Arabidopsis thaliana: one gene and its partners. The protein of the gene in region 2 interacts with the protein of the main gene of each other region in a pairwise test. Each region holds a gene or a part of one and is shown on either strand. Other genes may lie near its edges.

Region 1 (9,736 bases), on a different chromosome or scaffold from region 2:
TTTTACATCATATGACTGTTACCGAATCAGAAAGTCAATGACAATAATGGAAAATATGCAAATTTGACAATTTTCACCCAAGATAATGGTTGTTGAAGAAAATTACACAGGATGAAACATTTAGGCCACGAAGTTTTGAATATTAGGGTTTTGGGCCTCTCGGCTTGTTGGACTTTTTAGATCATGCTAGACCAAAACCGACTACACTATTTTGAGTAAGTAATTCAAAAATCCCAATTCGTTAGAAAACGAGCTTGAGTAGTTGTCCCAAAGTGATTGATCATTGATGTCTACATAATAATATGCATCCTCCATATAAGATTATGGCCGGTATTGGGCTGAGATGGTAATCTAAACATTATTTTGATGCCTTGATGGACAAATTAATATTGAGATTCTATAAAAGCTTAACCGTGAGTTATATACTTCTACCGAACCCAAAAAAAGCATCTAAAGAGCCGTGAAAAATAAATTCTCAATTCGGAGGGGGTCATTATGACACAAACTAAAGGAATAAAGCCATGACAAATGTGGATTTGCAAGAGAGCTGCATTGACTAAAACAGCTATACGAATCAAAGGAGGCATATAACAATTTCTAATAAAGGAAAGGAATCTGAAATGTGGCATTAGGATTTAGGTGATGACAGGGAGTGGATGTTGACCGATCAACAAAATTATAGGATAATACCAAACTAATCAATTTAAATAACACTCGATTGAGATGTTTACAATAATTATTGATAATTTTAATGCTATTTTCTATATTTATTTACGATTAATGCAAGAAGGCCGTTTAATTTTATCTTATTGGTCTACATAATTGTCATTATTCTAAGGCTTTTTTGGTTGAACTGGTAGAGGCAAAATAGTTAATTATTCAATACTTAAGTATGTTAGGTTAACCGACTAGAGAAAGTTGCTCTAGTTCTATTATATCCAAATTTGAAACTTAAAGCCTAAAAGCTGTTAATTTTTGAGAAGAAGAAAAAACTTTCAGAAACTGTTTCACATATTATCACTCTCGGCTTTCAAAAGGTTATAGACTGAAGATGAAACTAAAAAAAAATCTGTAATTATGTATAGTGTGTTACATATAAGTAGACGTATTATATTCATACTATTCTTATCCCTCTCTCTGTCTCAAAGGTCATTTAACAAAAAGAGTTGTAGTTTAGAAATAGAAACTCACTCGATTCTGCTATTTTAATATACATACACAAATCAACAAACATTCCTTATCCCACATTAATGCATTGTCTTTGATTATGAATTTATGATTATGTGTATTAACATTATTTCATCACTATCTCTAGTACTATTCCAATAACAAACTCATTAGATCATCCAAATAATATATATAATTTAGCTTAAACTATAGCTGGGGAGTTGTATTCGATCATTTAGTTATAGTATATATTTGTTTACTAGACTAAAGATATATATATCATTTTTTTTTTGGCAAAAATATAAAGTATATGCTGTATATATCATGCCCATTCAAAGATTCTTGATATAATTCTAGAATTTTCCTGTTAGTTTTCTTTTGGTTTTAGATTAACACACAGACTACTTAGAAAAAATAACTTCATGCATGATCCATGCTGCTAAGATGATAGAGTGAAACCCAATTCTTTTATGCAAATTTCACCACTTTACTTTCACATATACAGATACGTATTTTGATATAGGCATGTACGTGAATACGATGAATAATACTACAGAAAAGATGATAGATTATTGAAAAAATGTGTACGTGAATAAGCCCAAAAAGAGATTTGATGAAAAAGAGCCAATAAGCACAAACAGGCGGTTACAAAGAGAGAGAGAGAGATTGTGGAGTAGGAGTCAGTGATTCTAGTGGGTTCCTCCTCTTTTTCTGCTCTCTTTCTTCTATTTTTATTTTATGGACTAAATTACAAACTCTCATTTAATTTTCTTCTCGCTCAATTTTTTTCTACCTAGAGAAGTCGATAGTTTTCTTAATAATCTACCTCCATTTTCTTGTGATCGGTCCAATTAATCTTATATCCAATCATCTTATTTATCTTCTACATATTGGATAAGGCTCTTTTATTCTTTACCAAAGATAAAGCTCCATTCTTTTTCTTAACAAGGATAAAGCTCTTTTAATTAAGCACTCTTAGACTTTTGATTTTCTGTTTAACTTCTACATTTCAGGTTTGTGTATGAATAGAGATCGTCCACTCCATCTGATCAATTGCCAAGTACTAGCTTCACCCTTGACAGCTATAAAGTTAGTCAACTAAATTTTCAATTTTCTGTACAACTTTTTTGAACCCAATATTATTATTTGGAAAACAAAAAAAAATGCAACACATAAATATAGCCTGGAGACAAAGTCTAGGAAGGACAAGATCTTCGTCTGATTTACCATGAAAAATTATCAATATTTCTTTATTGTTTTCTTCAATAAAATTTTGAAATTTAGCAAGTGGAATTTGTGTTTACTATGGAAATAGATAGAGAAAGGTGGTGAAAAGGAGAGAGTGATGATGAATCACAAAGGTTTCTTCACATACAAGTATAGAGAGAATAGTAATAAAGAGAGAAAGAGTAATGATACTATACATTAGTCAATTACTAATACTTTATTATCATTTCTCTATCCAACTACAAATATATACACGCCCACATAATTTTGTATATGTATCTCGGAAAGAGAAAAGATTGGACCCTCTTTTGTTTTTCTGTTCAGCCATAAAAAAGCCTTTGACGAGAAAGCTTCCATTCTACTTTCTCTCTCTCCTCTTTGTTCTCAAACACCAAAAGCAAAACATCACAAAAGGTAAACACATAGATATCTTACTTTCATGTTCATATCATCAACTAGCTTTTTCTTTTCAAATTCCAATCATTTGATCAACTAATCAAGAATTAATTATAAGACTTTGCAATCTCTCTCCCTCTCCCTCTCCCTAGCTAGTTCTCTCTTGTGTTTCTTAACTCGAGCTTCTCTCAATAGTGATTATCATCTTTTTCATCATTTCAAGATTTAATGTGTTTTGCAGAAAAGAGACTAATCAAGAAGAGATATCATCAATTGAAGCTGTTTTCTTGAGTAGAGATGGCGAACCATAGAATGAGCGAAGCTACAAACCATAACCACAATCATCATCTTCCTTATTCACTTATTCATGGTCTCAACAACAATCATCCATCTTCTGGTTTCATGTAATTAACAAATCTTCCTTCGTCTTTTCTTCTTTACATATACATAAAGCTCAACTTTATTCATATTACATATCTTAATATTGAGCTCTAATTGAATTTTATATGGGTTTTCTTTGTTTATTCTCAATTTGTCATTTTCTTAGTAGTATTATGATATGTTATACGGTTTCATTTATGAGATATGAAATGGTCAACGGAAATCTATAGGTAAAACAGAAACTAAAAAATGTGTTATGGATCATCCGAAATAGGTTTTATATGTGCTTTAGCTTTTGTGTAAACTTTCATTATATGCGACCGTCTTTATTAATCTTCTAACTCAAAATGCGACCCTCTAATCAAGTATTTATATTTTAATTTAATTGTTGTTCCTTTTGGTCTCCAATTTTTCTTGGTTTCTGATTGTATAGTTGTAGTAACACATGATGAATATTCTCTTTGTACTAATTAAACAATACTATTAATAAATGAAACAGTAACCAAGATGGATCGTCCAGTTTCGATTTTGGAGAGCTAGAAGAAGCAATTGTTCTGCAAGGTGTCAAGTATAGGAACGAGGAAGCCAAGCCACGTAAGCCCCCCTCTCTCTCTCAAATCTTCATGACGTGAGCTTTCCTTAACAAACTCCAATAAAGTTTTTAAAATTCTGAGCAAAAAACTGAAACTGGAAAAAACAAAATAAAAAGCTGAGAGTAGTCTGAACAAGTCTTTAGATAGGTTTAGGTGATGATACGGAGGCAAAAGAGAGCCTTGGATGGCGTGACTTGTTTTTCTATTTCTCTTCTCTTTATTTAGAAAATAAGAAAAGAAGAAAATATCTTTTACCAACTCCCTAACTTCCTCTATATCAAAATATTCATAATTATACTATTAGTAAAATGTGTCATGTTATATATAGATTCCACGTGATAAATGATGTAGTTAGTTCTAAGTAGAATATATTGTAGTACTACTTAAATTACATCAAAAACACATATACATGCATGCACACATTTAATAAGTAGCTAGCATACTACATGATTACATATGAACATTACATATCTGATAAATGTAATGATGGGTAAAATTGCAGCTTTATTAGGAGGAGGAGGAGGAGCTACGACTCTGGAGATGTTCCCTTCGTGGCCAATCAGAACTCACCAAACTCTTCCTACTGTACCCTTTCTTCTTCTTTGACCCTTTCCTCTTGTTTTTTTCTCCTTTTTCGGCATTCCTATTTAAACTTAAAACTTATATTTTCATTTTACCCTCACTTTTATATACATGTTTCAGCTTTCTTGTTCCTCTTACTATCTCTTATTTTTGCTTCTTTCAACTCAAAAGCTGATAGCGATTTTAGAGTAGTTAATTACTCCATTCCTTTCTCTTGACTTTATTTTATATTACATAAACTTATAGTACCCCGTTTGTCAAATTATATACGCTAAGGTCAATTCCTCCTTAGTTACATTGATTATCCCTTTTCTGACTTTTTATTAATTATCTTATACGTTAATGATGATGAGTATGATTATGTTGAATATGTATTGCAGGAGAGTTCCAAGTCAGGAGGAGAGAGCAGCGATTCAGGATCGGCTAATTTCTCCGGCAAAGCTGAAAGTCAACAACCGGAGTCTCCTATGAGTAGCAAACATCATCTCATGCTTCAACCTCATCATAATAACATGGCAAACTCAAGTTCAACATCTGGACTTCCTTCCACTTCTCGAACTTTAGCTCCTCCTAAACCTTCGGAAGATAAGGTACTCATCATCATCATCATCATCATCATCATCATCATCACTTTTTAAAATTTAATTTTAGAAAGAGATATATGCATGGTACGTACTTGGAGTCATCATGAAACATGCATGCTTAATTTGGTGCATGTACATGGTATGTATATCATTAGCCTATCTCTCTCTCTCCTTGTCATTTGATAGATATGCATGCACATGCTTTTTCATATATGTCTATGTCCTAACAAATCTTTCCAATAAAACAAAAACATACACAGATCCCAAAAAGGAAACGGATCAGAGAAAATTCAGAATTTTGACCTCTCGAATCGTTGATAAAATAATGAAAACAGACAAATTTAAAATACAAATTATTAAATGAAATCCCCAAAAAGCGGAATAAAGCAGAAGAATCTTCCTAGGTGTTATTATTGTTTTTATAATTTACTTTTTACTACATGATTACATATCCTCATTTCTATGTTTACTTTAACAACACATATATTCCCTAAATGAGTTCATATTGCTTAGATTTAATATTACATTAAAAAAAAGTATTTAATAATGCTGTTTTTTTAATTGTGTGTAAATGGTATTTAAATATTTATCACATGAGTCGACTTCACTCACACAATTTAATTTATGTTTACTTTCTTTCCACTGAATGAATTTCTATTTTCATCTCTGTTCTCTGACATTGCAGAGGAAGGCTACAACTTCAGGCAAACAGCTTGATGCTAAGGTACTTTAACTTTCATCATCATCATTTCCTATACATTTTATTTGACTCCCCCGAGGAGACATATCCATTCCTATATATGTACTTACTTTTTAGTAACCTTTTTTACCTGAATTAATTCGTTAACTTCTTGTTTAAATGTTCTTAAATCTGGATTATGCAGACGTTGAGACGTTTGGCCCAAAATAGAGAAGCTGCTCGCAAAAGCCGTCTTAGGAAAAAGGTATGACCATATAATTGCCTGACTTTTCACCTCAAATTATTATCATTTGTTTTTGTTTTTTTGACCTATTTATATATTCTTTGCTACTTTTTCCAAATGATAATTTGTTGCATAGAATTACAATAATGCTATTGCTACTAGTAAAACATACGCAGTGGTGTCTTTTATTCTTCTTGGAAACCGCTGTTACATGAGCATTTATTTCTTTATCTACCATTTACCAGTCTTCTATAATTCATTTATGAACGTATAAGTTCCGCATTTCTTGTTATTCTATATGTAATGATACTAGTATGAAAATAACAAATGCATATACATATGGTTTGAGCAGGCGTATGTGCAACAGCTAGAATCAAGTAGGATAAAGCTTTCCCAATTGGAGCAAGAACTTCAGCGAGCTCGTTCTCAGGTTGAAATTGAATCATTTATATTCCTATAATCCTATATATTCTGCTAAATCTTTTTTTAAATTTGTCAAAACCTGTCATTTGCTAAGTTTCTCAATTGTTCATTGGTTATTAATAATGTCTGTTTGTTGAAATTAATATATTGTTTATGTCGATGGTAGGGGCTGTTCATGGGTGGTTGTGGACCACCAGGACCTAACATCACTTCCGGTACTTGAAACCTAAAACACCAATTGCAATGTATTATTGTATTAAAATAAGTACAATAATGGTTAAACTATTATTAACAAAATGTTGAAAATCGAATGTACGTAGGAGCTGCAATATTTGACATGGAATATGGGAGATGGCTAGAGGATGATAACCGGCATATGTCGGAGATTCGAACCGGTCTTCAGGCTCATTTATCTGACAATGATTTAAGGTTGATCGTTGACGGTTACATTGCTCATTTTGATGAGATATTCCGATTAAAAGCCGTGGCAGCGAAAGCCGATGTTTTTCACCTCATCATTGGGACATGGATGTCCCCAGCCGAACGTTGTTTTATTTGGATGGCTGGTTTCCGTCCATCCGACCTAATCAAGGTTCGACTTGTTCTTCCTTACTTTACCCCATGATTACAAACGTAAGTTTTAGGTTTTGCGTTTGAAAAACAAAATGATATTCACGTTAGTAAATTACATCAACAAATCTGAAACATTGCTGCAAAATGTAAACAGAAATGAGTATTCTTCGGTTTAATTATTTGCGTGTGATAAAAAAGTTGTGGAATCATGATTAACTAAAGAAAGGGATGTGATCTTAGATATTGGTGTCGCAAATGGATCTATTGACGGAGCAACAACTGATGGGAATATATAGCCTACAACACTCGTCGCAACAAGCAGAGGAGGCTCTCTCGCAAGGCCTCGAACAACTTCAGCAATCTCTCATCGATACTCTCGCCGCATCTCCAGTCATTGACGGAATGCAACAAATGGCTGTCGCTCTCGGAAAGATCTCTAATCTCGAAGGCTTTATCCGCCAGGTTCCATTTTCTCACCTATCTTTTTTTTTTTTTTACTTCATTTGCTCGAACAATAATTACAAACGAATGCAAACGAGAGAAAAAAACACCGTGTGAAATATACACAAAATTTGACCTACTATATAACTGTAGATAGTTTTTGACTAAACAAAATTTGCAACGTATTTTGGTTTATAGTTAGAGAGGAATTCGAATATATTTTTTAGAAATATATTGGGTAAATTTTAACGTTTTATATATATACTAGATGTACAAATGTTTAAAAATGCGGAAATACGTGCATATATTTTGCGTACATATATGAACAAACGTATGTGCTGGCTAAATTATCTAATTGAAAAAAAAACAAATAATCCAGAAACAGACAATACGTGAAAGCAACATTTGATGTTCTATAATAATTATATGTTGTTTTGGTCTTTGATTTAATTATTCCAAGAGCCAAATTTCTTTCACCAACTTGTTTTTACCTTTTATATATAATATAGCTGAAAAAAAGACAAAGAGAATATGTTAAAAGTATTCTCCATCTCTTTCAATGTTTTGTTTTGAACTCAACAAAAATATTTTAAAAAAATTTCTTGTTTTCAAACATTATGATCAAATTGATTGTTATTGATATGTATTGACTTTTGTAATACCCATTAGCCCACCAAGGTAGTAAGTAGGTATGCAATTATAATTATTAGTTTTTAATAATATTACCAAAAGAAATATTGAAATAATCTTAAAATGTCAAAAGATGTGATTACTAACTGTAATCTTTTTCTTTCTATTATTAATCTAAATGAAGGCTGATAACTTGAGGCAGCAGACCGTTCACCAGCTGAGGCGGATCTTGACCGTCCGACAAGCTGCACGGTGTTTCCTAGTCATCGGAGAGTACTATGGACGGCTCAGAGCTCTTAGCTCCCTTTGGTTGTCACGCCCACGAGAGTAAGACACATTTTTATGCATATATACATTTCATAGACGTATAATAATGCTAAAATATGAATTTGATATCGGGAATTATCAATGTGAATAGGACACTGATGAGTGATGAAACCTCTTGTCAAACGACGACGGATTTGCAGATTGTTCAGTCATCTCGGAACCACTTCTCCAATTTCTGAATGGAATGAAACTTTGTATAACTAAAAGGCCAAGTTTCATTGTCTGTCGTAATTTCACCTATTTCCTTTAAAGTTGTACTAGAGAAAAGATAGGATCTTCCTTCGACATTCTTCTTTTAATTATAGTTTTATGCTACTATGAAATTAACGTACCACGAAAAAAATGAATGTTGAATCTCTTCGACAGTACAAGAGGATGACTGAAATTTAATTTCACGAATGCTTTGGAGAGGATGACTGAAATTTAATTTCAATTATTTTCAATTTTAAACAGAAACGTAAATATCTCTACAAGTACAAGAACAAGAGCATGAATTTTTTTCGTACGATCAAGTTTTTCTTATGGAATAAAGATCTGACACATGTTCCTGAATCCTGGATAAAGAAGTACAATTCTGGTATAAAAAGACAAAGTTGTACCTTTTTGTTGACGAAAGAAAAAAGTTAAGACCTTTAATTCCCACTTAGATGAATTATCAATGACTCTTTCATTCTTGTTTACTCTTTAATACAATTAATACAAGTGGCTTGTTCAACAAAAAGTCGTAACTCCATCATCCAATAAACGATAATTAGGGTTTGAAGATAAAGATAAAAAACAGAGAATTGTTCTCTATTTCATCAAAATCTTCTCAATGGAAACAGCAAAGCGTAGAACCATGTCAACAATCGTCTCCAGGCTTAGCTCTGTCTCTGAGCAAACCAGAGCCGCTGCTTTAGCTGAGCTTAGACTCATCTCCAAACAAGATCCTGATAGCCGTCTAATCATCGCCGACGCCGGAGCTATTCCGTACCTCGCCGAGACTCTTTACTCGTCGTCACACTCTTCTCAGGAAAACGCCGCCGCGACTCTCCTCAACCTCTCAATCACCTCTCGCGAACCCCTAATGTCTTCACGCGGCTTACTCGACGCGCTTTCTCACGCGCTTCGTCATCACGACACCACCACTTCCCCCGCCGCGGTTCAATCCTCCGCCGCTACGATTTATAGCCTTTTGATAGCCGAAGAGTCTTACCGACCTATCATCGGATCTAAGCGCGATATCATCTTCTCCCTCATTCACATCATTAGATATCCAGATTCGCATCCTCGATCGATCAAAGACTCGCTCAAGGCACTCTTCGCGATCGCTCTGTATCCGATGAACCGATCGACGATGATCTCTCTCGGCGCGATTCCGGCTCTGTTTTCGCTGATCGTGAAAGATTCGCGGTGCGGGATCGTTGAAGATGCGACGGCGGTTATGGCGCAAGTCGCTGGATGCGAAGATAGCGAGGACGGGATGAGGAGAGTTTCAGGAGCTAACGTT
Region 2 (7,494 bases):
TCCAAACAGGTAACTTCCCATTGGTAACCAAGATCACAGCTGGACTCATCGCAGGAGCCGTTGGATCAGTCGTCGGGAATCCTGCTGACGTGGCGATGGTGAGAATGCAAGCCGACGGAAGCTTGCCGTTAAACCGTCGCAGAAACTACAAGAGCGTCGTGGACGCGATCGACAGGATCGCAAGGCAAGAAGGCGTTTCAAGTTTATGGCGTGGCTCATGGCTAACCGTGAACCGTGCCATGATCGTGACAGCTTCTCAGCTCGCTACGTATGATCACGTCAAAGAAATCTTGGTAGCTGGTGGCCGTGGAACGCCGGGAGGGATAGGAACGCATGTAGCGGCGAGTTTTGCGGCGGGGATCGTCGCGGCGGTGGCGTCGAATCCCATCGACGTTGTGAAGACGAGGATGATGAATGCGGATAAGGAGATTTACGGTGGACCGTTGGATTGTGCGGTGAAGATGGTGGCAGAGGAAGGACCAATGGCTTTGTACAAAGGGCTTGTTCCGACGGCGACGAGGCAAGGACCGTTCACGATGATCTTGTTCCTTACCTTGGAACAAGTTCGTGGTCTGTTAAAAGACGTTAAATTTTGATTAATTTTTTTCAAGTAGTTAGGTTAATAAATGTTTGAGATTCCCATATTTCTTCATACATTTCATATACGTTTAAAATATTTTGAAAATAATTATATAGCGATTAAGGTAATATTTACTAGAGATTTTTGTATAAAAATAAATTATTTATTTGCACAAATATTTTTTTTAGTAAATGCGAAAACTGATAGTGATTGAAGCAAAGGGACTTTTTCGGACGGTCCAAGTCTCTTGGACTTGGGGGATATACTTTTGCTGGGGACCTTCATTTGGTATATTCCTTTTTTTCTTTGGGTACTATGTTCTATTTTCTTGGTTGACAGAAAATATGAAATATCGCTTCTAAATTACAATTTCTTTTGTTTGTTTGTAAAAATCTAAATTAGAAATTATGCAAAAAATTATAAGAAAATAAGATTAACAATAATGTTTTTCTTTTATTGACTTTGATCATATTATCTCTATAAAAGAGAAATAAAATCTTTCTAAAGTTTTTTTACTTGAGTTTGAAGCTGGTGGCAATTTGGTGTTTGTTTTATGAGATTGTATAAGAGTTATCCAAAGCTGAGACATGGCCCAAAATAAGTCCAAGGCCATGTTTAGGCTCCATTTTGCATGGCCACTCCACTCATCTAACCAAAGCCCAGTCTCAATTATGTGAACTGAAATTTCTATGTTTTGTTTTTTCACACTGAAATTTCTATCTAACTGTCTTTCTTTTAACATGTTTCAATGATTTGCTTCCGAATAGAACACATAATAATTGTTTCCTAAAATTTTAAGAATTTTGAAGTACATAGTAGGCATTTGGGTCCACTGATCTCACACGGCAACGACTATTCTCAAATCTCATATCACATCAAAATAAAGAAAAAAGATTCAACGAGAAATTAAAATCTTTAGAAAAAATGTTCCAAAAAGAAAAAGAAGTCATCAAGGCAATTAAGCACTTAATTCCCTGTGCATTTTTTTAATCATTCACTTGCGTCTCTTTCTCTTTTTCTTTTTTTTTCTTCTTTCACCAAACTTGCTTACCTCTTTATTCGTTTTCTTTTCTTTCTCCTATGATCATGGAATTTGGTGGATGCTCCAACGTTTTTCACCTCAATCACTTATTAAAATATCATGTACAATAGTTCGTAATTATATATGAAAAAACGAGTGGGCTAAATTGGTGTTTTATAAGCCACGTCAAAAATATTGTATTATTTAGCTAGCTACTAAACTAGTCAAATATGTTACAATGTATATAGTTCAATTTGTATCGCGTCATCGTAAAGACATAAATGTTCCAAATCATCCCACCCACACACCTAAAAAGAAAGGTTAATACTTTAAAAATAATGATTATAGAAACCACCAAAATGGTTAAAAACTCACTTCCACTATTTGGCTCATAATTATAAAGAAAAAACGTTGCCCCCCCCCCCAAAAAAAAAAAAAAAGTTAAAAAGAAGACGAACATATAATGGCTTTACTTTAACGAACTACTAAGAAATTCTCACGTTTATGATATTACATAATTATTAATTTATGGCTTGAAATTATGGATCGCGAGGGTTTGCCATTATACATCATAATTACATATATTCTACGTTCCACCTCCTCTACTCCTCGTCCCATTGCAACCATCCAAACTAATAAAAATATTTAGATTATTTCTACCATTCAATTCAAAATTATATGCATTTTAAATTATACTATATGTATTTTCTAAAATAAATTTAAATTGAACTGAATTAAATAAATTTAATTTTTCTTTATAAAAAATATGTGTTAGAAATATGAATTGAAACTCATACTAAAGTGTATTTTAGTTTTAATTTCTACTAAAAAGAATAGTAAAAAATCAAAATAATAAGACTATATCCAATGTTCAATTCTATTTTTTCTTCTATTTTAAAATTGACTCTATTTTAAAGGTATTTTATTTCATTGTATGACTCTAAAATAAAGTTTTCTCTAAAATAGAAAACAAATATAGAGTAAGTTGTCTTTTGTTCTATTTATAGAGTAATCTCTACATTTTTCTTCTATTTTAGTAGTAACTCTATTCTAAAATATATAATAGAGTAAAATTAATTATATTTCTTCTTAAATTGAGTTAATATTAAAATAGAAGAAAATAAAGTTGGGCAATGGAGATGGTGTTATGTTTTGCTCAAATGAGTTTTTAGAGTTGATGTTCCAGCTTGGTTATCTAAATTTTGGAAGAGAAAGAAAAATGAAAAAAAAAAAAAAAAAATCTGAAATAAACTTGGTTGATGTGAACTGTTTTTTTCTTTTTCTTTTTCTTTTCCTGGTCTCCATTATTGACGGTAAATAAAGTGGTGGAAAAGGGTAAAATCGTCACAAGAAATAAGAAGATGTATAAAGCAATGTCACACACTTCAGTCTTCACGCCCACTTTTAGTGAATTTGCTAAAAATATATTTTCGAAATAATATTCCGCTTTCTCGTTTCTTATCCGTTCAAGCTTTCGTGAATTCGTCTCATAAACCTCTCCACTCTCTCTGGATCTCCACGCATAGATCTTCCTCTGTTTTCCTCCATGTACGCTTCTTGGATTCACTTAACCATTGTTTGTCGCTGTGCTCTCTCTGTTTTTTTATTCCTCGAAAAAGTTGAATTATCAGCGAATTTGATGCAAATGTGTTTAAATCGTTACCAAAACGGATAAATTCTTCTATTTTCGTAGCTTGGCTTGCAAAATCCAAGCTTTTAGTTCTTGATTTTGCTAAAATAAATTATACTTGTTCAATGCTGCAGAACATGTACTTATCTTCTTCTGCTGTTTATGGTTTCTCTATCCTTTCAATTGTTGTGAATGTTTGGTTTCTTTGGTTTGTTATTACTGGAATTTGATGAGATGATTCTCTGTTTTGTAACAGAATTCTTCTCTCTTTCTCTGGATCACAACAAAGCAGTGAATGAGAAAAACAGCATGAGTTGGTTCACAAGGTCTGTTGATGTGTACCGTAAAGTTGTGAGCTTGAATCTGTATTGCCGAGTTATTCTGTAAACTTTTTCTCTGCCTTGAAAAACCCCATCTTCAATCTTCTTCTAAATCCTCAGCCTTTTCTAAACTCTTTAATAATGGGATCCCAACGTTTCTACGTTTTCCACTGTGACCAGTATAGGATCATCTAAACCCTTAAAGCTTCTCTTTTTCTTCTTCAAGTCATCTGTCTTTTGGTGACTTACTCTGTTCTGTGGAGAAACACTAGTTTTACATTCGAGAGTTTGGAAAAGTTATTATTATGGTAAGTCAATCAGCTGGTCAAACAAGATTTCGAACATTCAAGTACGAGAACAACGGAGACTCTAGCAGACCAACAATTGTAGTGAGAGTTATTGCTTGCTTCCAACCGATGGATAATTGTCAGGTTTGTTGCAGCAAAAATGATATTATACTCTTTTTTTTGTCACATTTCATCTCATAGTCCTGTGTTTCTTATCTAACACTTTTGTCTCTGTTCCACTTGCAGGCTGAATACTTTAGACATATACTCAAACCAGTGACGTAGTTGGTTTGTGAGCTTGTGTTTGTATTTTTGGAGCTGGCACCTTTTTTCTTTTTGTCTCTACTTTCTTATACGATTGTTTCAAGAAAGAATCAACAAGTGTTGCGTTCCACACATTTGAGCAACAGCTTCCACAATCGGTATGCTAACTGAATCTTTGACTCTTTATGGATTATTGCTTTCTTGAGTTGGGCTACTAGTAGTTGTCTCATTCATAGCCATGTCCAATGATTAGTCCCTTTCCTTTTTCGTGCAGTATTGTATTCCTGTAAAGTTCCCTTGGCTTAAACTGCAAGAGCATGCCTCTTGATACCAAACAGCAGAAATGGTTGCCATTAGGCTTAAATCCTCAAGCTTGTGTCCAGGACAAGGCGACTGAGTATTTCCGTCCTGGAATTCCTTTTCCGGAACTCGGTAAAGTTTATGCAGCTGAGCATCAGTTTCGCTATTTGCAGCCACCGTTCCAAGCCTTATTGTCTAGATATGATCAGCAGTCTTGTGGAAAACAAGTTTCATGTTTGAATGGGCGATCTAGCAACGGTGCTGCTCCAGAGGGGGCACTCAAGTCTTCTCGGAAAAGATTTATAGTATTCGATCAGTCGGGAGAGCAGACTCGTTTGTTACAATGTGGATTTCCTCTGCGGTTTCCTTCTTCTATGGATGCAGAGCGAGGGAACATTCTCGGTGCCCTACACCCAGAGAAAGGGTTTAGTAAAGATCATGCCATTCAAGAAAAGATATTGCAACATGAAGATCATGAAAATGGCGAAGAAGACTCGGAAATGCACGAAGACACTGAGGAAATCAACGCGTTACTGTATTCTGATGATGACGATAATGATGATTGGGAAAGTGATGATGAAGTAATGAGCACTGGTCACTCTCCATTCACAGTTGAACAACAAGCGTGCAACATAACAACAGAAGAGCTGGATGAAACTGAAAGCACTGTTGATGGTCCACTTCTTAAAAGACAGAAACTACTGGACCATTCGTACAGAGACTCATCACCATCCCTTGTGGGCACCACTAAAGTCAAAGGCTTATCAGATGAAAACCTTCCTGAATCAAACATTTCAAGCAAACAAGAAACGGGTTCTGGTTTGAGCGACGAGCAGTCAAGAAAAGACAAGATTCACACCGCTCTGAGAATCCTGGAGAGTGTAGTTCCAGGGGCAAAGGGAAAAGAAGCTCTTTTACTACTAGACGAAGCCATTGATTACCTCAAGTTGCTGAAGCAAAGCTTAAACTCATCAAAGGGTTTGAATAACCATTGGTGAAAAACCTACAACCCCTTTTGTCCTATTGATAAGGCATGTTTGGTTGGTTAAAGAGAAGACATGGGACAAAAGATAATCAATGAGGTAAAGGACTGATGAAGAAGATTCTCTCAAATTCATTAACGTGGGTTTGAAACAATTAGAACACGCCTGGTGACCCTAGTGGGACCGTATCCACTGTTCATCTAGCTGGATCAATAGTGGTTTACTTTTGGATTTGGCATGCTCTCTCAAAAAAGAACCAAAAAAAAGTCACTTTCTTCTGTGCTTGGAGTGGAAGAAAAGTGAAAGAAGGGAAAAAAGCAAAGTCTTGGTGCTCATTGATCGTTAATAATTATCTTTACTCGTGAGTAATAATAATATCTCTGTGAAGGTCTGGTGGTGGTGGGTGTGGATGAAGAAAAATCAAAAAGGCAAATATTGAAATTTTTGGAGTGGTTGTGACTTGTGGAAATTGAAATCTTCCCACTTTCATTAGGTGAAAATCTATGTCCCCACTCTCTCTTGTCTCATTATTACTCTTCTGTTGCTATCAATCCCATAACTTGTCATCTTTTTTGTTTTTTCTAATCTCTCTGGCTCTTAAGCTCTTCAAAGGCCTTGTAGTTTTGTACTATTGTAATGTTATTTGCTTCTGTTGTTTCTCTCATGGGTCTAAACATGTTTGTGTATCATGTTCATGTAATAAACTCGAGTGTTAATAATGGAACCTTCTTTGGCTTCTTACATGCTAGGATTTTGCTCTAACCTTTCAAACTATCATTTTTTCTATACCAAAAACAAATTTTGTAGACTTATTATTAAACAACAACCATACAAGAAAAACCTCCACAATCTATTTTTTGTTGTAAAATTTGGACTTTTTGAAATTTGACGTTACATATGAAATGTTATGGACCTTGCCTAAGGAAACACATCTTCCGACTATGCAGCAAAATCTTCTGGTGAGGAAATCTATGTGTCTCATGACCTCCCACGTAAAGAACAAAAAGATATTTAAGAATCACAGTGAAGAGAAGAAACCTCTATTTTATTCATCCACCATGATTAATGAGCTTGATCTGATTCTTCTTGCTAAGAGCATAAAATTTTCACCAACTTATTTCTCCATCTTAAGATGATCCTTCATTCTCCAAGCTGCATTTGTTATGCACCAAGATCAAGTGAAAGCCGCTGGCTATTCCCTCTAAACCAACATCTCGAAAAGCATTCAAGATCCTCAAGCAAGCAGAAGCATCAAACTCTGTCGTTTTAGACTCTTTCCACTGATGGATAATCTCCTCGGCTTCTCTCAAATGACCAAGCATTAGATAAGATGAAAGAACACAAATGTAGCTTCTACTACTCAATATCTGGTTGGTGTTTCTCAAAGACTTCCAAATCTGATCTATCATAACCTTGTTCCCTAGACCAGTGTGCAGAATCATAAGGAAGTCATATGTGATCCATTCTCTTTGCGAAATAGATTTCTCAGCTTCGACAGGCAAAGTAGACTCTGCATTAGTTACTCTACTACTGTTTATGTAGATGCTAGTAAGATCGATATACCGAACCCAACCCTCATTGGAACTAGCATCATGCCTCATCTCTTCAAGAATCTTTCTAAGCTCATCTATATTAAAGGTTGCAGCACATGAACTTAGCCACAAATTATAAGTAAAAATATCCGGAGAAACCTTTTTCTGCTTTAACACTTCAATAACCTCAGGTACTTTCTCAACTTGCCCAACTGACATGTATAAAGTCATCATCTCGTTGTATGTGATGGCACCAAAAGTGAGACTATCACTCTCAATGATTCTCTTGAACAAGGCCTCGGCTCGTTCGGTTTGTTTGGAGGCAGCATAAGCATGAAGGAGAGAAGTATAGGTTTCAGCTGTCTTTGAATCTATATCCAGACCTTCAAAGTAGCGTTCAGCTGCATCGATCCCGAAAACTTTTGAAATCAGATCTATGCGTGAGGCGTAATCAGCATCTGAGATCTTTGATTCTTCATGCTGTACCATCCACTCTGTAACCTGTTAATAATACTTGAATTAGCTCCCAGAAGAATGCAGTTTTGTGCAGCAACACATAACAAATCATAAATTGTGC
Region 3 (8,411 bases), on a different chromosome or scaffold from region 2:
TGTCTACGCATCAACTTATAATGTTATATGATCACATTGTTACGATGAGGTATTGTTTTACAATGGATCTTAAACAAACCATTAAGGTACAAACAATGACGATTTGTTGTATTTCTTTGTGTTCAGATTTTGTGGCACTCATTTCTGACATCAATTCGTTTTTTTTTTAATCAGACACATATAACAAAGTATCTTTGCAAATGAGCAAATTAATGCTATCTTACAATTAATGCATTTGAAAGTAGAATTTCATTCTTTAAGTTGAATGTATATATAATGAATTATAAGAAAATCGGTTGAATCCAACGAAACTAACATGTGAACAATGATCGATAGAAGTGTTTCGACTTGCATCACTCATTACCTATAACGTATTTACTATTTACTATTACACAACACTGTATCAGTATCGATCATTGTGCCAAATATGTATATACATGTACGTGTATTTAAATGTACGACGAATTCTATACGTGTAAACGTATAACGTAGAAAATTTAGAGACGTCTCCTTCGTAATCATTTAAGTATATATATATATATACACTTGGACAGTTCAATGTTATTGACGATTTATAATCATTACGACGCTAACCAAATTTAGCACTGGACTTAGACTTCTTATTTTGGGAGGTGAAGTGCATTCATGATGTTTGATATGTTTCAAAATATTATACGACTAAATAATCCAAACAATCTTTTGATGAAAATAAAAATGTTATAGTTGACGATAGAAACGAGCAATGCTTCATATAACGTGGAACAATTGCATTACATAGACAATTGCTTGTGGACATTCGTACTCTACATAAAATTAGTCGAAGTTAGCAAAATTCACCTAAGATATTGAATCGTTTGTGATACATTGCTTCTTCCTTTTGGGGGTTTGATATTAAATGCTTTTACAACTATATTTCCATTGACAATCTACCTTTATAATGATTATTAGCTAAACCAACTTACAAACAACGTTTTGACAACCATAATTGTTATGCACTTTTCAATAGTCTTAACTCTGCTTACGGATGTCGTTTGCTCAGCAATTTGGGAAATGGGAATAACTCATATAAAGAGATATGTGTGTTGTTGTGTGGATCCCATGCATGTCAGGTTTGTAACAGCTGTCGAATAATGCAAGCTACATAGAAAAATAAAACATTTTCATTAAAACACAAAAAGAAGAAGGTTAGAGAGAGCTATTCATTTATTCATCGAAACATTTTAATATGGGAAGAAGGGAATTCCCACACCACTCCACTACGAAGAGAGGCTTCTTGGGCCAGTGTCACGTGATTAACACGCGGATCCAGACCCACTCATATATAAACGAATTATCTATAATATTTTCTAAACATATTTCTTTATTCATCGCACATTTTTTTTTTTCATGCTTCACGTATACATCCGAAAAATCTTTGTGGTCTCGCCCATATCTATCCTTTTAAATCCATCATGATCCCAATGTGATACGTTAATAAGACCATCTGCAATGGTTGTCTCTATTTTTTTTTTGTAAATATAGAAGAGAAAATAGAGATTTCTATTTTTACTCCAATAATTCTTCAAAAATAGAAATCTCTATTTGTTAGAAAGAAAAATAGGGGAAAAAAATAGAGATCCATATTTTTGTTTCTATATATAGAGAAAAAAATAGAGATCTCTATAATGGAAGTGAGAATAGAGATGAGTTGGAGTGTAATAAAAGCAAAAATAGAGTGTAGAGACAAAAATAGAGATGTGTTGGAGATGCCGTAAGTATTGTGAAGATAATCCTCACAGCTTTCTCAGCAATAAAAGAAAATATATCTCTTTAATTTTTTATAAAGGTTTTATGTGTGAATATTAAAAACTTTAGTCTCATATGAGTTCGAGACTGTGCTCGGGAACAAATTTTATAAAGATAAATCATCTAAAATTGAACTGCGTTTATAATGGCAAAGACTTTGCATAATTAGAATGTTTCTTATTGATAAAGACTTTGCATGTTTCATACTCATTTTGACATCTAATTGAATAAAAACAGAAAAGAGCCGTATAGCTTCAAAATCTTTATATTTAGAATAAAGTGTATATATGTGAAAGAGTAACACATATGTACGTAGGAATTAGGTTGGTTAAAGAATTGGCCACATCAATATCTGAGACACCAAAGAAGTAATGGACGTTGGGAGAGTAAGTAACGTTGCCAAATTGGAAATGCCAAAAAAAGATTGTACCTTTCCTCTCTTTGATTGAGACTTTACTACTACACCAAACCTTACATCACCAATCGCTGAAAGTGAAACCGATATTTTAGCACATTTATATTCCACTTCTACACCTTTTTACTAAATTTCAGTTTTGAGATTTACTTACATGAAGAAGAAATTGGCTAATCAAAATAATCAAGCAACGATGATTTGTTGCAATGAAATGGAAATTGGGATTTGGGCTCAGATTATTAGAGCATAAGTGGATTTCCTGTTCGGCCCATTGTGTGAAACAGGTTATTCCACTGGACCCATCTGTTCATCTTTGTCCTCAAATTTTCCTCTCTATCCCCAAAACACCCTTTTAAAGAAGTAACATTAATTGTTTTTTTTTTTCCTTTTAATAAATTTATAAGATATTTTGAATTAATATTATTAGTACGTCTCAATTTTTATTTTATTTTTGCCTTTTATACTCTAAAGTTTTTAATACTTGATGAATTTTGAATATTTTTAAAAAATAAAAAAAATAAAATATTTTTAAAAAATTAATATTACGCTTGGTAGATTTCATCCAACGGCTGAGATAATTACTAAAATGGTGTTTTGAGCTCAATTATTTTTCCATATTAAAAAGTGTTTTTGGTTCTTGGTTATTTACAGGTCAACAAAATAATTTGACACCGGAATCGGAGTCCGTGGAAAGTCAGAAAACCTGATGTAACACCATTTATGGCATTAACTACTGATAATAATACTATACGAAAATCCAATTATTATACCGAGAAAAAAAGAAAAGTGGTCAGAGACAGCAGGCTGGTCCTGCTGAAGAATAAATCTAATCTACCGATTCGATTAAATAAATATGTGCCGTTTTCTGGTACGCCCTATTCAAATCATTTTTATATTATAGTATCAAAATACTTCAAAAATTTACTAATTACAAAATTAAGGAGTGATAAAAAAAGTTTATAATCAGAGATAAAAAGTCACCGGTTAAAGCCCAAAAGGCCCAAGTAATATCCATTGGGATCCAGCAAAATATATAACAAAAGAACCGTACCGTACCTACAATAACCAAAATTGGTTTTCTCTTTCTTTTGTCTAACAGTGGCCTTTATTTAACAGACGCACTCCACTGCTAACGTTGCTTTCGTCCTACTCTTCTTCTGGTGTAAAAGCTTTTCTTCCACACACATTTGAGAAAGAAGACGAAGAAGAAGAGAGAATAACTATTCCTTCTTCGCCAAGTTCTCTGAGCTATAGAAGAAGGAGGGATTTCTTCAGACCGCCATTGTTGCCCACCTTCTCTCCTTTCTATTTTTCGCCGCATTTTACTCGCTTACTGACAAAAGTCTTCTACTCAAGTCTCTCTCTCGCTCTCTTTGGAGGCTCAATTAGGGTTTTGTTGTCGTGAGATTTGATTACACAAATTGCTGAATTTGGTTTCGATTATTGGTGTTATTGTTTTCGAAGATTTCCAGTGAGTTTCCGTTTATGGATCTGACTGGAGGATTTGGAGCTAGATCCGGCGGTGTTGGACCGTGCCGGGAACCAATAGGCCTTGAATCGCTACATCTCGGTGACGAATTTCGGCAACTAGTGACGACTTTACCTCCCGAGAACCCCGGCGGTTCGTTCACGGCTTTGCTTGAGCTTCCACCTACACAAGCAGTGGAGCTTCTCCATTTCACTGATTCTTCGTCTTCTCAACAAGCGGCAGTGACAGGGATCGGTGGAGAGATTCCTCCGCCGCTTCACTCTTTCGGTGGGACATTGGCTTTTCCTTCTAACTCAGTTCTCATGGAGCGAGCAGCTCGTTTCTCGGTGATTGCCACTGAGCAACAAAACGGAAATATCTCCGGGGAGACTCCGACGAGCTCTGTACCTTCCAATTCAAGTGCTAATCTCGACAGAGTCAAGACGGAGCCTGCTGAGACCGATTCATCTCAGCGGTTGATTTCTGATTCAGCGATTGAGAATCAAATCCCTTGCCCTAACCAGAACAATCGAAATGGGAAGAGGAAAGATTTCGAAAAGAAGGTTAGAGTGAGAGACAAATGTTTTTACTTTTTTACATTTGATCCTTCGTTTCATCAGATTGATTTTTTATAGGGTAAAAGCTCGACGAAGAAGAACAAAAGCTCTGAAGAGAACGAGAAGCTGCCATATGTTCACGTTAGAGCTCGTCGTGGTCAAGCAACCGATAGCCATAGCTTAGCAGAACGAGTAACTTGCATCTGCCTTCACTAATTTTTCTTTTTTTTGGTATTAATCAGTTGATTAATTCGCTAATTGATCACTAATTTTTGGATTATAGGCAAGAAGAGAGAAGATAAATGCACGAATGAAGCTGTTACAGGAACTGGTCCCAGGCTGTGATAAGGTTTGTCTCTTAGATATAGACGTGTAATCAATTTGTTAATCAATCATTAGGTCTTCATTTGTGATTAACGACATTATATTTCTCTAATTGATTCACTCCAAAAGTAAGAATTTATTATTAGATGATCTAGTCTTTTTGTTAAGGGTCTTAATCCTTCACACCTACTTTTTTTTTTCTTCCTAAAAAGTGGATTGCTTAATTGCTTTTTTATTAAGAAAAGTGGTTCCTGGTGTGCCAAAGTAGCCAGTTGGGTAATTGTGTAGTAATGCCTTTAGAGATCTCAACTTTATTTTTTTATTTCGTGTGGGGAGAAATATCTCACGGGTACACACTTAGCTTTAAGGTTAACTCAGTCACACGGAAGTGATAGGACCTTGCTTTATCGAATTCTTTTTCCATAAGTGTGTTCGTTGAGCTTGAAGATTAGTCTATAAATGACGAGAATGACCTTAGGAAGTGTGCTAGCTGTAATATGCCATTAAGGTTTTGGGTTTAGGGGACAGATTTTGGTGGAAAGATCAAGATCAAAGTGTGTTTTGGGGTCCATCTTTTGATGATAAGTGGGAAAAAAGTTGCAATCTTTCTATGGAAGGTGAGGAAGGGGTAGTATCGTCTCTAACAAGTTCGGTATCTATCAAGGAAAAATAGAAAATGACTCTTAGAAGGACGATTAAAGCAAATGATCCTTTACAAAAATTGATATGCTTTGAGTCCCACATACCTAATTAGTTGGAAACATGATGTGACACTCCCCCAGACAGCTAATTAATCATCCCTGATGTTAGAAGTTAGCAGCAATTATTGGTGTGATAGAGATGATGATATGGAACATCAGTGTTTGTTTAAAATTTGGATTCTATAGGTGAGCTGTGAGGACTTGATTGATTGTTCCTTTAGCCCCCCTAGGGTATACTGATTACTTGTGATTGTAGTAGATACCATTTATTATAATAGCTTTAGATTAGCACGTCATTCTCTTGCTGCTTTTTTCACTGTGTATTTTGGAATCTTGGTATTTTCTCGTTGAAATATTGGATCATCTTAACAATAGTTAGCTGTCTAGAAAGAATTTTTGGTATGTGAAAGCAGATCTACCTAATATGAATCCGAGCTTATCAGAAAGTCTTTGACCTGCAGATTCAAGGTACCGCGCTGGTGCTGGATGAAATCATTAACCATGTCCAGTCATTACAACGTCAAGTGGAGGTGAGACTTTCCGTGGTCCAATTTTTGTTCTTTATACCTATATTTTACAATAGCCCTGGGCACAATAAAAGGGTCAACTCAAAACAATTTGAAAATGAATAGAATTATGTGCCGCAATCTCATGAAACTGTGACTTGTGTTTCCACAGATGCTATCAATGAGACTTGCTGCGGTAAACCCCAGAATCGACTTCAATCTCGACACCATATTGGCTTCAGAAGTAAGTATCAAAATCTCAAACAATAATTTGGTCATTCTGATTAGTCTTCTCTAGGAAAAATTTAACCATTTCATGTGTTTCTCATTTAAGTTAACCATACCTCTTTGAGTAGCTTCTAGTTTCTATCACAAAAGGAGAAACTTTTGGGGTATTTATTGATACAAACATTAATTTAGACCATTTTAGTGTAAGGCATAGGAAGATCACAACGTCTACTCTCATGAAGGAAACTCAGGGAAAAATAAATACACAACACACACACACACCCAATGCAAATAACAGTAGTGGGTCAAAACTCGGACCACCTTTGTTCTGTAAAACCTTTCTGTGTCTTCTGTGACTTATGTCGGATGTGTTACTTGATGAACCTTTTAAAAAAAAAGTTAATTCATCCCTCAATAATTTCTGTGGGTCTCTTCCAAAATCTTGTTATTTCAAAGTGACCTATCTAATTTCATGATCACCTGTGGATTCTCATCAAAAGTTTTGGACCAAACTAAATAAATGCTCCCTCTCTCTTTCTTCTTACAGCTTGTACCACCATTAAATAGCCAGGGACCCTCTCATCAAACCTTGTTCTTTTAGGATAATAATAACACAGCAACAACAGTTGACTTCTTTGACTAGATCAAGATCTCTATGAATGATCCCTTTGCTGATATCTTTTCCGGTTTTGGCTCTGTGTTTTTTTCTTTGACAGAACGGTTCTTTAATGGATGGGAGCTTCAATGCCGCACCAATGCAGCTTGCTTGGCCTCAGCAAGCCATTGAGACCGAACAGTCCTTTCATCACCGGCAACTGCAACAACCACCAACACAACAATGGCCTTTTGACGGCTTGAACCAGCCGGTATGGGGAAGAGAAGAGGATCAAGCTCATGGCAATGATAACAGCAATTTGATGGCAGTTTCTGAAAATGTAATGGTGGCTTCTGCTAATTTGCACCCAAATCAGGTCAAAATGGAGCTGTAAGTTGGGAAAACGGTAGAGATCATGAATGTGTATATACATCGTATAAGCTCGTTTCTCTCTATATAAATATAATCATAAATATAGATATCTGTTAAGAAGGTATCAGTCATTTGATTCAGAGAGACAACACTGGTATGATTGTTTCTTATTCTTGTACCAGATTTCGACAATGTAGAATTTAGTAGGATATGATCATTTTGATCTCGTTATATATATCTTACTAATAATAAATAGAGATAAAAAAATTCTATTTAGGGAAATAAATCAGTATCGATAAACAAAAACAGAAAGAAGAAGCAGGGGCATCCTTTGGATATTGGAGTTGCACGAAAAAGAAGAAGCAAAAACAAAATGCAACTATATGTTTAGATTGTTTGAGCTGGACCAAGTGAAAATGCACCTCTTGAATTATGGTTTAGGTTAGGTAACAAAAAACCCTAAATTGACTCATTCGATAAGAACAGAGATGCAATCATAAATATGAGTGCAAAGCACGTTACCGGAAGCTGTGATGGCCTTGTTTGCGTCTACCGTATAGAAAGATTGATGTGTATCATCAATCCCGCCACTAGATGGTATCGATCTCTTCCTCAGCCTAAGATTCAACAAATTAACCGCCTTAGACGAAATCTACACGAGAGAAAGTTTCACTTTTTAATTCTTTTGCTTAATCAATTTGCTTAATCAATTTGCTCATATATGTTTACTTAAATTTTTGATGTTTTTGTAGTATTATTTCACTATTATTGTGCCTAATTAATTGTTTTTGTTTTTACAAACTCTCTCATAGCTTATTATTCTGCATCAAACTATCCAGGATTCGGTAAAGACACTACGATCCTCATAGAAGAGATCTGGAATTCTAGTTTCAGTTGTTTATCAATTCCAATAAAGTCTACACACATAGACATAGGATAAGATTATTATTAAGACCTTTAAAAAAAAATGATGGGAAGCATATTATTGTTACTATTATTCTTTTCTCTGGTCCAATCACGTTCAGACACGTCATATTCAAAAATTCAACTTCCCGGCGATTCTCTGACCCTCTCCGTTACCGATTTCGGTGCTACCGGCGATGGTATCAACTACGATACTTCTGCGATTCAGTCAACCATTGACGCCTGCAATCGTCACTACACATCTTTTTCTTCCATCTGCCGCGTCGTTTTCCCTTCCGGCAACTATTTGACCGCTAAGCTCCATCTCCGATCTGGCGTCATTCTCGATGTGACGGAGAACGCCGTGCTTCTCGGTGGACCGAGAATCGAGGATTATTATCCGGCGGAGACTTCGTCGGATTGGTACGTGGTGGTGGCGAATAACGCTACGGATGTTGGAATCACTGGCGGAGGAGCGATTGATGGCCAAGGATCGAAGTTCGTGGTCAGATTCGACGAGAAGAAGAACGTGATGGTGAGCTGGAACCAAACCGGAG
Region 4 (5,883 bases), on a different chromosome or scaffold from region 2:
AACAGTTTCACTTTCGAGTTTTCTTTAATTCTTTGAATGAATTCACATGAAAAGCAATTCATAATTGTAAAATTTATTTTTAAATGTAGTAAACCCCACCCACTGTTCATAAAAAAAAGAGAGGAAGGTAGTAGAGAATTGGGCAAATTTGCCAAGATAAATATATAAATTCCTATTGAATAACAAAATCAACTAGTGTCTGCATACAATATTATCTATGAATGGCTTAAAAGGAGAGTGTCTTAGATAACTCTTCACTTTCTCCAAAAGTCGCTAATCCTTAAAATGAATCACTTATGTTTTCCTCGATTTTCAGTCGATATAATCACTATATTCTACACGATCTATCAAACAAAACACACAACAAACGATAGACGATAGTGTTAATTTGCCAAATAAACGTCTTTAGCATCATAAATCAAGAACAAATGCAACAATAAACGATAGATTATATGGTTAATTTGCTAAATAACATTCAAGCTTATGCATAAGAGAACGAAGTGTGTTCATTTCTATAATTAAAAAACACAATGCAGGATGTAAAAGAAGAGTCACCAACCCCATAAAATAAGTAATCATGGCTTTTTTTTGTAGAATCAAAGGCACTCAACGGTATCAACGGAAACAGTTGGTGATGGAGATATTAGTGTTGGAATTATGCTTTTTCTACGTGTCTTGCATTAACCATAAACCTATTTTTTATCAATAACTTGACGCGATTTTTTAATTACTTAACTCAATATCTAAAAATTTGACAGTAACGTTATATAGAATTGAAAGGTACTCCATACTAACTACTAATATATAATTAACCATCATTTTGTGATTAAAAAAAATCAATACTCCTCACAAATATACCACCATATTGGAAAAAATATACTTAATCGTCTTTAGTCCTTACAATTCCATATCTTTTGGGCTTCGTATTTATATATCTTATCCAATCTTGATGTTGGGCACTAAAACAAGGCCGAGAAGGCCCAAAGGTATTTTGGCTCCGATTGGGTTGTCAAGAGTAGCTTCAAGTTGAAACAGAGGATTGAAAAATGAAATAAAATACATTCGTAAACTGAAATCAGGAATTAGCATGCATAATAAGAAACACAAAAAAAAGAAATACATTTGGTTTTAAAAAAGAGAGAACTAAAAGAAGAAATCAAGACTTCATTTTACAAACTTTGATCTCACTCTCATAAGTAGATGTGAGGATATAATACATAGCTTTTGAATACATAAACTTTCTCCGGTTTGTTGATGACGAGGACCTTAAAAACTTACCAAGCCAAACCAAACATGGAGATTAGCTACATAGTAAAACTCTATACGACCAACAAAGAAAACTAGGACAGATTCAAACCTAATAAACTCATCTGCAACTTGTTGAAAATTTCAGTTGCACAGAAGATTAATATAAAATAGAAGACTTTAAGAATTGGCCAGTTTACTAATTGCATCCCAATCAATCTCCACCGAAGGAAACTTCCGAAGCCCGAAACTTCCAATCTCTTCAAACTCAGTATCCGAGAAATCCAGGAATGTTTTATCCGACGATGAATATTCCGCCTGCGACTCATCCAACAACGAGGTCTCATCGCTTCTCGGTGACTCATTAGAGAGCTCATTTGTCTCCAAATGCTCTCTTTTAGGCAAGAAAAGCTCTGCTTTTGGCAGGAAAAGCTCTGTTTTATCTGAAACAGAGTAAACAGAGTACTCCTTTGTTTGATCAGAAACAGAGCAAATTTCCTCTGTTTTTCTCAAACTTTTGCAGATAGCTTGAAGCTTGGTATCAACAGAGGAAGGGAGAGGATTCATGTCTTCGTGTATGAGGTTTGGGAAGTTAAGCTTCGCGATATCTCCACGGAGCTGAAAAGCAGCTTGGTCGTAAGCTAAGGCGGCTTTTTCGGCGGTTTCGAATGTCCCGAGCCAGAGACGGGTCCGGTTCTTGGGCAAACGGATCTCAGCGACCCATTTCCCCCAGTGCCTTTGCCTTACGCCTCTGTAGAGATTCTTGGTTTTGGAGGTAGAAGGTGTTAAGTTCTTCATTCTGATACGGTTTGGAGAGAGGTTTGAGATTGTGCTACGTCTATGGTTAAGCTGGTTCTGAATCTGATGAATTTGGTATGGTGTGAGCTGGTTTAGACCGAGAGGCATAGATTTGTTTACACCGAAGCTCGTGTTTGGGACAGGGAAAGAAAGAGAAGCAGTTTCCATGAGAGGATTGAAATAGAGATCTTTGCTGCTTGTGAAGATATAAAGTTTGGATTTTTATAATACAAAGATGAAACCCTTTTGAAAGAAAAGACGACGAACAAAGAAATGGGTGAAATTGATCAAAACGAAACTTCAGGGTCAAGAAAAGAGAAACTCAAATTTTTAAGGTGAACTCGTGCTTCCTTTATTTTTTATATATAAAAAATCTCTCGTTATGTTGCTTGTTCTGAAGCTCTCCGCCTTTTAAAGGCCATTGAATTCGTCTGAATATTTAAGGCAATAATCGTTTTAATCAATCCATGGCCGGAGTAAACCAATAGGAAATTGCCATGTCTACATGTGCTTTGGATCTAGCCGTTTCCGGGGAATATAATATAGGGGCTATATGGGGCAAGTTCTCTATAATATGTGGGTTTTCGGTTGTGAATTTAGACATGTTTTACTTTGAAGTTGAACACGTAATATATGACTCAATGTTGGAGGATAATTTGTTGTACCAATATTCTGTATGATGGAAATGGAGCTTAAAAATCAAATTAATCACAACTTCCACAAGTTGAAAATTTAAAAATTTGTTTAGTGACCTAATCATGTAACTATACTTTTAGATGAATACTCAAGTCTATTTGTAAGATTATATGTTGTTAGAAATTTTCAAAAAATATATATATGATGATAAGGTTGAAGATAAAGTGGTGAAAGTTTAACACACATGGTTGGTTGGGGAGTTATTGTAGCTACATGCTTTCCACATTTAATTTCTTTTTTCGAACTTTTATTTAATAATATATACAGAATATATACCCTGAAAAAAACTAATTAATTGATTAACAATATTATTATTTAGATATAGAATTTTGTAGGAGCTAGAAAATAAAAACAAATGAATTGTTGATTCTAGGATTCGTTGAAAGGCCAATTTGCTTTCCAACCATTTAACGATCAAGTGAAAGGACCAATAACTCTTGGAATATGGCACCTTTTATATTATGAACATTTTACTTTCATTTGGACAAATATATTAAAAGCTAATTGCATGGAAATTCTCTCCGCAGTGCGTTTTCCGTTTCCGAAACATTTCAGAAAACGGAAACTCTTGGAAATTCGATGGAAATTCACAAAAACGCGTTTCCTAAAATTTTATATTTGGAAACACGATGAAATTTTTTATATTTTAGAAACGCAAAAAATCTTATTTTTTTACTTTGGAAACTTAATAATAATAAAAGTTTGGAAAGATAAAGATTTAACTAATTTTGGGAGACTCAAGTTTTAAGATCTTTCTCTCGACGAATCAAATCTCATGTGCTTCATATGATTTTTAATGGAACTAATGAAAATGATGGTCTAAATATTTGATATTACGCTTTTTAATCTTTATTTTTAAGAATTTTACTTTATCTATTTGATATTTATGTTTTAGATTTTTGTTGTTTAAAATATATATATATATATATATATATATGTCTAAGTTTCCAAAACGTTTGCGTTCCTTAATTTTAAAAAAAAATTGTTTTCGGTTTTCGAAACGTTTCGTTTCCGTGTTTCCGTTTCTGTTGCTATGCAACATAGATTAAAAGTACGAGGTAGATAGAAAAAAATAGGAATAGGTTATTGTTGGTTTATACTTTATAATCGTATTACGCCCATGATATGACAGTATATCGAACCGGTAATTGGAAAGTTAATTCCCAAAGAATACGATTATACTAAGATGAAAAGATGATTGTAGAGAGACAAAAAAAGAGCTTTGATGAGCTTTGTGCCCATTGACACAAAGAGAACTTTAGATGGATAAAAAGAACGTTTTATAGAGAGAAAGCTTTGAAAGAACAAAAGGAAAAGCAATTGAACGTTGATTTGTGGTTGATTTCCAATCTCTACATTGATTACCAGTCAATTCCGTGACAAATTTGTTACTAAATTGGCTAAGATATGTGTTCTGGTTTAATGCTTCCGCATAATAGAATAACAATTATAATACTAATAACATCATCCATGTGAGTATTTTTTTCTTCTTCTTTCTTTTTTTTTTGGAATGAAAATGATCCATGCGAATGTTGGTGTGACAAATAAATATGTTATTAAAATATTTACAGATTATGTGATTTATTATGTAATTTAATATGTGGTCCAGTCATAAAATCGATTCGTTTGCTAAACTCCACTAGATTTCTCCTTTGTAAAGTTTCACGTTACATATTGATTCATCATGAATCAATTACTATGGGTTTAGTCCATTTACGCTTCTTGCGGTTGTTCAGTCAACTTTCCTCAAATCAAATTATGGTACTTATAAGAAATCTTTTGGTACCAAAAGAGTAGACAAGTTTGGATGGTATTAGGAGATACAAATACCAAATATTTTCACGCTTCAACTAAACAAAGGCGGGCTAGGAACAGAATAATTGGTATCCTCGATCAAAATAGAGTGTGGGTTGATAATGAAGAAGGTATCGAGAAAGTCGCCGTGAGCTACTTTGATAACTTCTTTTCTTCCTCGGTTTCGAGAGATCCCACTAATGTCCTTAAAGATGTCCATGTTGCGGTTACTCCAAGGATGAACGAGGCTCTAACCAAGGAGGTTACAGAAGAGGAGGTGAAAAGAGCTTTATTCTCATTAAACCCGGGAAAAGCACCAGGATCAGACGGGATGATGGCACTTTTTTACCAACGTTTTTGGGACATTATAAAAGGTGATCTCACCAATTTGGTGAAGAATTTCTTTAGATCTGGTATCTTTGATGGAAAGCTAAATGAGACCAACATTTGCCTTATCCCAAAAGGGGATAGGCCTAGGGAAATGTCTGGTTTCCGTCCTATTAGTTAATGTAATGTAAGCTATAAAGTGGTGTCAAAAATTCTGAGTCTACGCCTCAAGAAGTTTCTTCCAGAGCTTATATCCGAGACACAATCCGCGTTTGTAGCGGGACGATTAATCACTGATAATATTTTTATTGCTCAAGAAAATTTTCACGCACTCCGTTCTAACCCATCGAACCGAAAGAATTTTATGGCACTCAAAACTGATATGAGCAAGGCCTATGATAGAGTAGAGTGAGATTTTCTACGTGCATTAATGGAAAAAATGGGTTTTGACCCAAGATGGATTGGTTGGATAATGCAGTGCATTACATCAGTGACTTATAGGGTCTTGTTAAACGGCGATCCAAAAGGGTTTCAGGGCAAGAGATTAACCTAGCAAAATCATCCATTATGTTTGGTAATGAGGTTTCCCCTTCTATTCGACAAGAGATAAAGACAAGAATGGGGATTTCGCAAGAAGGTGGTATGGAAACTTATCTAGGACTCCCTGAAAAGATTCATGGATCCAAAGCTCAAGTCTTTGCTTTTGCGAGAGATAGATTACAAACAAGGGTAAACACGTGGACATCCAAATTTCTCTCCAAAGGAGGGAAAGAAGTGCTGATCAAATCTCAAGCCCAAGCCCTTCCGACATATGTTATGTCGTGCTTCCTCCTACCAAAAGCGGTTACTTCCAAGCTAAGTAGTGCGATCGCCAAATTTTGGTGGAGTAACAAAGCGGATAGTAAAGGGTTACATTGGATTGCATGGGACCAACTATGTACTCAACTATCTGATGGGGGTCTAGGATTCAGGACCCTTGAAGACTTTAACTCGCACTTTTGGCGAAGCAATTATGGCGACTCT

Evidence for each region.
Region 1: the proteins of AT5G09460 (region 2) and TGA9 interact in a two-hybrid assay, tested with the Arabidopsis thaliana proteins (one large-scale study listed by BioGRID).
Region 3: the proteins of AT5G09460 (region 2) and AT3G57800 interact in a two-hybrid assay, tested with the Arabidopsis thaliana proteins (one large-scale study listed by BioGRID).
Region 4: the proteins of AT5G09460 (region 2) and AT2G22200 interact in a two-hybrid assay, tested with the Arabidopsis thaliana proteins (one large-scale study listed by BioGRID).

What each region holds. Positions count from the first base shown.
Region 1 is NC_003070.9:2,620,803-2,630,538, reverse strand, and holds TGA9 (bZIP transcription factor family protein), read left to right. Parts: upstream 1-1,944; 5' UTR 1,945-2,256; intron 2,257-2,610; exon of another isoform or gene 2,611-2,718; 5' UTR 2,719-2,808; intron 2,809-2,817; exon of another isoform or gene 2,818-3,031; 5' UTR 3,032-3,087; coding exon 3,088-3,194; intron 3,195-3,670; coding exon 3,671-3,765; intron 3,766-4,266; coding exon 4,267-4,349; exon of another isoform or gene 4,350-4,726; coding exon 4,727-4,936; intron 4,937-5,615; coding exon 5,616-5,654; intron 5,655-5,814; coding exon 5,815-5,874; intron 5,875-6,205; coding exon 6,206-6,283; intron 6,284-6,442; coding exon 6,443-6,491; intron 6,492-6,596; coding exon 6,597-6,868; intron 6,869-7,089; coding exon 7,090-7,311; intron 7,312-8,104; coding exon 8,105-8,247; intron 8,248-8,338; coding exon 8,339-8,426; 3' UTR 8,427-8,679; downstream 8,680-9,736. Other genes in the region: AT1G08315 (ARM repeat superfamily protein), read left to right, coding at 9,062-9,736. UniProt on the Arabidopsis thaliana protein: Together with TGA10, basic leucine-zipper transcription factor required for anther development, probably via the activation of SPL expression in anthers and via the regulation of genes with functions in early and middle tapetal development.
Region 2 is NC_003076.8:2,942,343-2,949,836, reverse strand, and holds AT5G09460 (transcription factor bHLH143), read left to right. Parts: upstream 1-2,997; 5' UTR 2,998-3,149; intron 3,150-3,487; 5' UTR 3,488-3,982; intron 3,983-4,084; 5' UTR 4,085-4,260; intron 4,261-4,376; 5' UTR 4,377-4,419; coding exon 4,420-5,400; 3' UTR 5,401-6,099; downstream 6,100-7,494. Other genes in the region: DIC3 (dicarboxylate carrier 3), read left to right, coding at 10-596; AT5G09450 (Tetratricopeptide repeat (TPR)-like superfamily protein), read right to left, coding at 6,513-7,418.
Region 3 is NC_003074.8:21,406,596-21,415,006, reverse strand, and holds AT3G57800 (basic helix-loop-helix (bHLH) DNA-binding superfamily protein), read left to right. Parts: upstream 1-3,394; 5' UTR 3,395-3,685; coding exon 3,686-4,231; intron 4,232-4,303; coding exon 4,304-4,417; intron 4,418-4,508; coding exon 4,509-4,574; intron 4,575-5,070; coding exon 5,071-5,166; intron 5,167-5,436; coding exon 5,437-5,481; intron 5,482-5,711; coding exon 5,712-5,780; intron 5,781-5,928; coding exon 5,929-6,000; intron 6,001-6,411; exon of another isoform or gene 6,412-6,606; intron 6,607-6,700; coding exon 6,701-6,973; 3' UTR 6,974-7,218; downstream 7,219-8,411. Other genes in the region: AT3G57790 (Pectin lyase-like superfamily protein), read left to right, coding at 7,919-8,411.
Region 4 is NC_003071.7:9,441,997-9,447,879, forward strand, and holds AT2G22200 (Integrase-type DNA-binding superfamily protein), read right to left. Parts: upstream 2,433-5,883; 5' UTR 2,212-2,432; coding exon 1,426-2,211; 3' UTR 1,077-1,425; downstream 1-1,076.